2 linked regions of the Sus scrofa genome follow. The protein of the gene in region 1 interacts with the protein of each later gene in a biochemical or structural test. Links are inferred from orthologs where the notes say so. Each region holds a gene or a part of one and is shown in the gene's direction. Other genes may lie near its edges.

What was found. The genes of interacting proteins can lie anywhere in the genome.
Region 2: the proteins of NEDD4L (region 1) and ubiquitin-conjugating enzyme E2 E1 form a complex in vitro, tested with the Homo sapiens proteins (2 studies listed by BioGRID). The link is inferred for Sus scrofa from reciprocal best matches to the Homo sapiens genes NEDD4L and UBE2E1.

The regions. Positions count from the first base shown.
Region 1 is NC_010443.5:162,377,310-162,380,822, reverse strand, and holds part of NEDD4L (E3 ubiquitin-protein ligase NEDD4-like), read left to right. Parts: intron 1-1,214; coding exon 1,215-1,275; intron 1,276-2,894; coding exon 2,895-2,954; intron 2,955-3,513. UniProt on the Homo sapiens protein: E3 ubiquitin-protein ligase that mediates the polyubiquitination of lysine and cysteine residues on target proteins and is thereby implicated in the regulation of various signaling pathways including autophagy, innate immunity or DNA repair.
Region 2 is NC_010455.5:10,604,486-10,608,641, forward strand, and holds the start of ubiquitin-conjugating enzyme E2 E1, read left to right. Parts: upstream 1-1,351; 5' UTR 1,352-1,539; intron 1,540-2,613; 5' UTR 2,614-2,646; coding exon 2,647-2,798; intron 2,799-4,156. UniProt on the Homo sapiens protein: Accepts ubiquitin from the E1 complex and catalyzes its covalent attachment to other proteins. Catalyzes the covalent attachment of ISG15 to other proteins. Mediates the selective degradation of short-lived and abnormal proteins.

The DNA.
Region 1 (3,513 bases):
CATGAGCTGCTTCTCCACTTGGGAGTTGAAAGCTTACTGTGCTTAATATAAAACTAGAAGGAAGATCCTGCAGTTCTTACCTGTTCATATTAATTGGCGCTTGTTCTGAACTTAGCAGGCAGACGATGTCCTAGCAGACACCATTGTCTCCATTTGAAAGTACAGACTTTGAATAGATTTTTAATATCACTCCACCCCAGAGTGACTCAGTTCGAAAGTCTGAGGATTTGGACCTTGTGATATGTGTTGTGTGTCATTCTTGGCAGTGATTTCTTTTAAATTTCAAATTGGGTGGGGAGCGGGGCTGGGCAGAGTCTCACTTGCCTCACTGCGGAAAGGATGATTGAAGCCTGCAGCTGCTCCCTGCCACCTGTACCCCCTGGTGCAAGCAGGCTATTGAGCTGATGGCAGCGCAGCCAATAAAACTTGATATGCTGAACAGTGGGTGGGCAGCAGGCTGGTCCTCAAGGGCTGTTGCCATGGCGCCACCTCGTAAGCCAGAGCCCTTTATGACAAGGTCCTTGTGCTATTTCATGACAAAGCACCATAGATGGAATCCAAAGTGGATTCGCCTGGCAGTAAATTCCACTGTACACTGAACAGTGTTGCAGGGAAGATGCTTCGAGTGGATTTCTGTTACTCAAAAAGGGTTTACCATTAATCCTCCGAATGTTGGTATTAAAGTATTAGTGGTAAAGTGCTGATAAATTATGTCGTCATTGAAAATCAGTGTATTTTATTGTATGATACTAGAATGAAGTATCATACAATAAAATACATTGTACTGGGTACTCCCCCTAAAATATGTACATTTGTACATGTCTGGGTGTGTACATGTGTGAGTTTGTGTGCGTGTGTTTTGTACACAGACATATGTATTCAAACGGCATTTTCCCTTTTCTCCATGCAGTTACATTTATTAGGCAACTTTGATAAACTAAGGGCCGGGGGAACCGGTCTTTCTTGTGAAATCCCCGCTGAGATTGTAGGCTCGTCATATATGTTTGTTATCCACCCCCTTCCCACCCACCCCCACCCCGTCAAAAAAGAAATCAGTATATCAGCAGCAGTCCCCCAGCAGCAGGCCCCCTCTCTCCGTGGCCTCTCTAGGGCTTTTCTCCTTCCCCTGATGAGAGGTCCCTGCAGTTGTGAGGAAAGAAAGGCACACAGTGATGAGGAAGATGGTTAAATGCTGCTGCCTTTTCCTCCCGCAGCCTCGTCATCCAGTGGAGATTTGTGAACAGGGTCCAGAAGCAAATGAACGCCTTCCTGGAGGTGAGTTGTGCTCGCTAGGAATTCCCGCCTGTGCCTTTCGTTGAGAGAGGGCAACTCTTTTCATTGGGCGGTGAAGGTGGGGGCGAAGGTGATCCCTGGGGGCCGGGGGCCGGGCAGAAAGGGCAGGACTACCCTATTCACACCATTTCCAGGCTCCAGCACAGGAGCGTCCCGCCACCCTTTTGTTTTCTTTTGTTCAGTGTTTTCTGGCTTTACCGCTCTCACTTTTTAATTTGTGTTGTTTTTAAAGAGACATTTTTATACTTGCTCCAGAAAAGCAGGTTCCCCCACGGAGGCTAGAACCATCGTCCTGCAGTTTTAGGCGGCACCCAGGGAAGGCTGGGAGCATCTCTGTCTTGGGCTCCCTTGATCTAGGAAATGTGAGGACTCAGGGCAGTGTCCAGCCAGGCCTTCACTCCCCAGGAACAGTGCCTTCCCCTTCATTCGTTGGACTTTTTTTTTTTTTTTTTTTTTTTTTGCGGCCACACCCCTGGCTTATGGAAGTTCCCGGGCCAGGGATTGAATCTGAGCTACAGTCGTAAGCTACACCACAGCTGCGGCAACTCAGATCCTTTAACCCTCTGCGCCATGCCAGGGATTGAACCCACACCTCCGCAGCAACTCAAGCTGCTGCAGTTGGGTTCTTAACCCACTGCACCATGGTGGGAATTCCTCAAACATTTTTAACTCTCCTGTCCTTCCCTTGTGGCTGAGTTACTCTCCACCCTATTCAAGGGAGAAGCACGTACTTCTCAGATTCAAGTGCTTGATGTCAGCGATGCTCCCAGGACCTGAGGAGAAGCCCATTGCAGAAAGTAGGGGTTTTTAAAAATAGCTCCCTTTGACCCAAAGTGCAATTCCTTTTAAAATCCTGATGACGGGTATTAAAGCCCCAGGTTTACATTATAAGCTTCCAGTGAACCAAGGCAGAGTTCTTGTTGGCCGATGCTCTCTTAAGCCCACCCCAGCTCAGCTCCCTGCACATGGTGAACAAAGCGCCAACCCAGGCAGAACGCTCAAAAAAAATTCCAGGACGTAGGGTGTAACCTGCGAGTTAGACGCACTCAAGAACAGCAGGTTTCATCCCACCTGGCCCACCCAGGTAATCACACACTCAGAAACCAGCCACACACCAGGCTGGGCAACGTGGAGCGTCCGTGCTGGGTCACCGCATTGGTCAGTGATCACTAACCTGGGACCTGGGGCAGGTTTTCTGTACTCCCTGTCTCCTCTCTCCTGACCACGCTGCTTCCTCTCCTCTTTCATCTGTATGCCTCCCAGACCTTATTCTCGAATGGCTCACTTGCATGCCTGTGCCTCTGAGGACACCCTGAGTCACAGTGGTGTGTCATAAGTGGCTTTTGGAATCCACCTGCCTGCAGCAACCCCTATTTTCATAATGTTTCAAAAATTACTCAAGTGCCTGAATCTGCTTGAGTCTACTGCTTTTCAAAATTTTACATTGTGACTATGCTGTTTTTATTTGAAATTACCAACTACTGATAGCTGCAAATCATCAGTGAACAATGTATTTTTCTAGCTAACTGAAAAAAGTTTATCCTGTGAAATGTCTCTTTCAAGGAAAAAGGTGTTAAGAATGATTTTTTTTTTCCTTTCAGGGATTCACGGAACTGCTTCCTATTGATTTGATTAAAATTTTTGACGAAAATGAGCTGGAGGTTTGTAAACATTTGTGTAAAGGAGATTTTTTAAGTATCTCATTACCTCACAGATGATATTTTAATATTCTAGATTCATAATGTCCCGGCGAGTAAGCTTACATGACTTTCTAATTCAGGTCTTTTAGGGGCTTGCCTGATTGCTGATCGGGGAGTGGGGAATAGCAGAAGTGGTCACCTGTAGGTTCCTGGCCCAGGAGAGGGACATAGCAGGCGGGGAGGGGGCTCTGAGCTGGTGCACCATGAGGGGAAAACTGCTGTTGTTAGTAGAGCTGGGGTGGCAGCACCCTGTTCCCAGGGCGCGGCCGGCTGAGGGCCCTGCACTTCCACACACCCACCCATGGCATCCGAGTGGGGACTTGGCCAGGAGCGAGTGCGGGCGTCCACGAGGGGCTGTAGAGAGGGGTCTCGATGAACTCGAAGTGGGCTGTGTAGAGTAAGAAGGCAGGTCGAAAGCAGCAAGGTGGTGGTCCTTGTGCACCAGCTTAGCTTGTGCCAGCTGCTTGGTGTTGGTGTGGATGAGAATTGGGAATTTCAAAAGCAGAGGGATCTCTCTGCC
Region 2 (4,156 bases), on another chromosome or scaffold:
CATTTGAGTGATTGAGGGATAGCTCTGTCTGGAGGTAGGAGGCTGGAGGCTGAAATGATGACTGAAGTGGTTTTTTCCCAGTTTTTGGACCCCTCAGGTCTATGACAATTTCTGCAAGTAGACAGATACAGGTTTCCCGGAAAGGACTGAGCAAGAAGTCTGCACGATTACTTTATGACTCTTAAAAAAGTTGGAGTTTCATGTTGAGGACTAGAAGAGGTTTAGGTGGGTGGTAAGAATGCTTGTTTTCCTGGTTAGTTGGATATGCCACTGGCTTTATGTCTTCTGTTGTCCGGTGGTAAATGAAGCCACACTGTTGCTATGGAAAAGGATGGCAGTTTGGGATAATTTAGAGTGGCCCAGGGAAATCTGGGCAGTTGCTTAGTGTACCACACCTAGTATATGTTACACTACACATATCTCTTCAGTTTCCTGCAACTGAAATGACAAATAAGTGAGAAACTGAATTGTAATTTGATGGCTTAACTAAAAAAAATTAATCTTGGTAAACACGATAAATAAAGAAGAGTTCCGAAGAATTAGAGGGATTATTATTAAAATCTTATGATTTGAATAGCATTTATATTGTCGCTGAAGAAGCTGCAGCCGTCCTCAAAACTTTTAATATAATTTCCGACAGCAAAAATTCTAAATCCAGTCTAATTCAGTAGTAGAGGGTTTATTCCCATTGATTTCTCACATTAGAAAGCCTCTTAGACGTTGGTTGGTTTTACCTGTCACGAAATCCACTGTATCACTTTTATAAAACACTTCTTTCTATAAAAAGTGACTGGAAGAATCGAAAATTGTAAAATTGCACGTGCCTGAGCAGAAAACTCCAATCTTGGGATTTTCTCACAGGCGTGCCTAAACCGACCTCTGCTCCTAGCAGGTAAATTGCCAGAGGGGGAAGCCAGGGTCAGCCCAAAGGAAACCCTGTTGTGGGATTTCTTTCTTTCTCCCTTAAACTGATCACTTTTTAGGAGGAGTTCCCTCGGTATTCACTAGTCCAAAGTCCTGGCACCAGATTACCATCTTTTTTACCAAACTGCCCCCGCTTTCCCAAAGCCCTTTTGGTAAGAACTTCCCCTCGCGGTCGCCCTATTCCCGACAGTTCCCAGCGCCCCCAGTCTCGGGACGGCTTCCCCTCTTCAGCCCAGGATCCAGGGGTCCCCCAGACTCCTCCGGAGAAAATTCACAGCCCTTGCCCCCTGGCCCCGCGTCCCGACGAGGCGCCGGGGTGGGGGTGGGGCGGGGAGGGGCCGGGCTTCCCGGGGTCCCCGGGTGCTCCTGGCGCCCCCCGGAGGTGTGCCCGGGGAGGGGAGCGCGGGTGGGTGGGACCGGCCGGACGGGGTGGGGGAGGGGGAGGAGGAGTGTGTGTGCGAGCGTGTGTGGCTGGGGGAAGCCATTGCCTGTTTAATAGTTGCTGTTGCTGCACTTCCGCTTCTCTCCCAGCGAGAGAGACACGAGTGGCCAGGCCCAGCCGCAGCCGCAGCAGCAGCCGCCGCGGCGGCACGGAGCAGCCAGACACAAAGAGAGGTACGGGGATCCCCCCCGCCGCCTGCCGCCCCCCGGCCGCGCCGCCGGGCTTCGGGGACACCCCTCGCCGCCGCCCCCGACCCGCGCCGCCCGGGCCGCCGGGCACGGGGCCGGGGGCGCGGAGAGGGGCTAGGGAGCTCCGGGGGTCCGGGCCCGCCCGCGGGGGATGGGCAGGGCCCCGGGCCGCGTGGGGTGCGGGGCCGCCCGCGTCGGGGGCGGGGGGCACAGGGCTCGAACTGTCAGCGCTGCCCCGGGAGCCCCCCGCTGGCCGCCGAGGGGCCGGGAACGGGGGAGGGGAGGCGGGGAGCCCCGTTTTCCCCTGGGGCGGGGGCCCGTGGGGATTAACCCCTCCGGGGCGCACGGGCTCATTGTTATTCCTCAGCAGAGGAGGCCGAGTCCCCCCCTCACCCCCGCCCCCACCCGGGGTGCCGATCGGGCGTGTGCCTGGGACCCCCGCCCGGGCCGCGCAGACCCGACCCGCACGGTCCGGGGGCTGGCTGGCAAGGGGCGTCGGGGCGCGGCGGGGGCCTCGGGCCTCGTCGCTCCTACCCCCCTCCGGCCTCTCCCTTCCCCCACGCGGGCCCCCGCTGCCCGCCTCCGTCCCCCCGTTTCGGCTTCCTCTCTTACTCCTCTCCGCCCTCCTCTCCTCCTGACCTCGCCAAACTCGGCGGCTGGCCCCCAGCTCCCCTACGACCCCCGGAAAGCCGCCGAAAACAGCCCGAGGCCGGCTGGCCGCCGGGACCTTCCCTGCCCGCCCCGGCCGGGCGCCCCGCACCCCCGCCCGCCGGCTGCTCCTCTCCCCGCCCGGAGGGGAGCCCCGGGGGGCGAGGGAGGGGCTGCTCTCTGCCCTCCCAACCGTTTTCCCACCACGTCCCCCACATGGGGCCCCGAATAAACAAACAAGCCGCGTCCAATTTGCAAAAGCCATGATGGGCCCGAAGACTTTGAAAAGCGAGTGGAGGGCGGTGGGCGGCTGGGTGCACCCCCGGCCGAAGCCCTCCTGACAGCGCCCGAGTTCCTTATTTACACTGGCTGCATGGTTTGTGTTTCTGTTTTGTTTCCCTCCCCCTGCAGGGGCTGTTTGCGGGGTGGGGTGGGGGGTTCGCTATGTCGGATGACGATTCGAGGGCCAGCACCAGCTCCTCCTCATCTTCGTCCTCCAACCAGCAAACCGAGAAAGAAACAAACACCCCCAAGAAGAAGGAGAGTAAAGTCAGCATGAGCAAAAACTCCAAACTCCTCTCCACCAGCGCCAAGAGGTACGGTACCCCCTCCCCACCCCCACCCCCAGCAGGCTTCCTATTTCCCAAACTGCCTCTTGCTGCATTTGGTCTGCCTCCATGAGGGTAGCTTAACCGCTCCTCATGGTTTATATGTTCTTAAAGAGGAGAAAAGGGGCCTTGGAGGCCCTAATTGTTTTTCTCGGTGCCTTCTTCTGTTTTTTCTTTTAATCACTGTCCACATGCAGCTGTTGTGGCTTGCCTCTCCCATATCTTGCTGAAGTTTGTAAGAATTTTCATTACTATTATTAGTGACCACCGAATCTGATTTCACATTACTTGTCCTGTTAATCACTAATCTGTGACCCTTCTCAAGGCTGTCATCCCACTTCTTACTAATACCTACCCAGACAGTTCTATCACAATGAATTCTATTACCGTCTTACTTCTCACCTGTTGCACTTATGAACTGTTTTGAATAGAGCTTTCTCCACAGATTGCATGAGGAATAAATAACTCATTTTGGCAGAGTAAAAACTCTAATGGGTAGAGATAGATGTTTTCGGATGGAATTTAAAGAGATTTTTTAGATTTAGAGAGTTGAGGCAAGTGAATGAATCAATAGGTGATGTAAAATGGCTATTCTAGGCTATTTTGGGGATTCTTGTTGTTCTCTTTGAGAACCTCAATTTACCAAATTTCAGGGAAACTCAAATTTTTTTCATGGTATTTCATTGTTGATTTTTAAGTTGAATTCAAGCAGTGGTTCTTTTTCTTTGCTCTCTTCCTCTTATGTCTCTGGAAGAAGCTACTTTTTAACCTCCATTATCCTTCAGTAGTGTCCTCTGATTCCCATGACCCTTAAAGTATCTATAGTAGATTCCTGGGAACCCCTATAGTTTATAAATCCTGCTGTCGGTTGTAGAGTCATTAAACTTTAAGGTGGCAAACCAGAAAGACAGTAAGGAATCCAAATGGTGGGTTAGCTGGAGATACCTTTCTTTTTTTCTTTTTACTGTTCTTTCTTTTTTTTTTTTTAGGGCCCCACCCTTGGCATATGGAGGTTCCTAGGCTAGGGGTCCATTCACCATAGCCACAGGAAGGAGGGAACGGAGCGGGTCCTTAATGAACTGAAGGAGGCCAGGGATTAGACCTGTGTCCTCATGGATGCTAGTCAGATATGATTCCGCTGAGCCCCTGAGGGGAACGCCGAGATACCTTTATTAAAACAATGTAAAGTAAAAGGGAACTTGATGCTTTAAATCTCTTCACTGAGTAGTGTGCCAAATAGAGTTTGAAAGTTTGTCCTGTTACTCTCCCTGACTTGAAATTTGGTAGGTTGGTACGGTGTTTTGGTGACCTCACCCTAGGAGGATGAAGGGATGACTTGCGCTTAT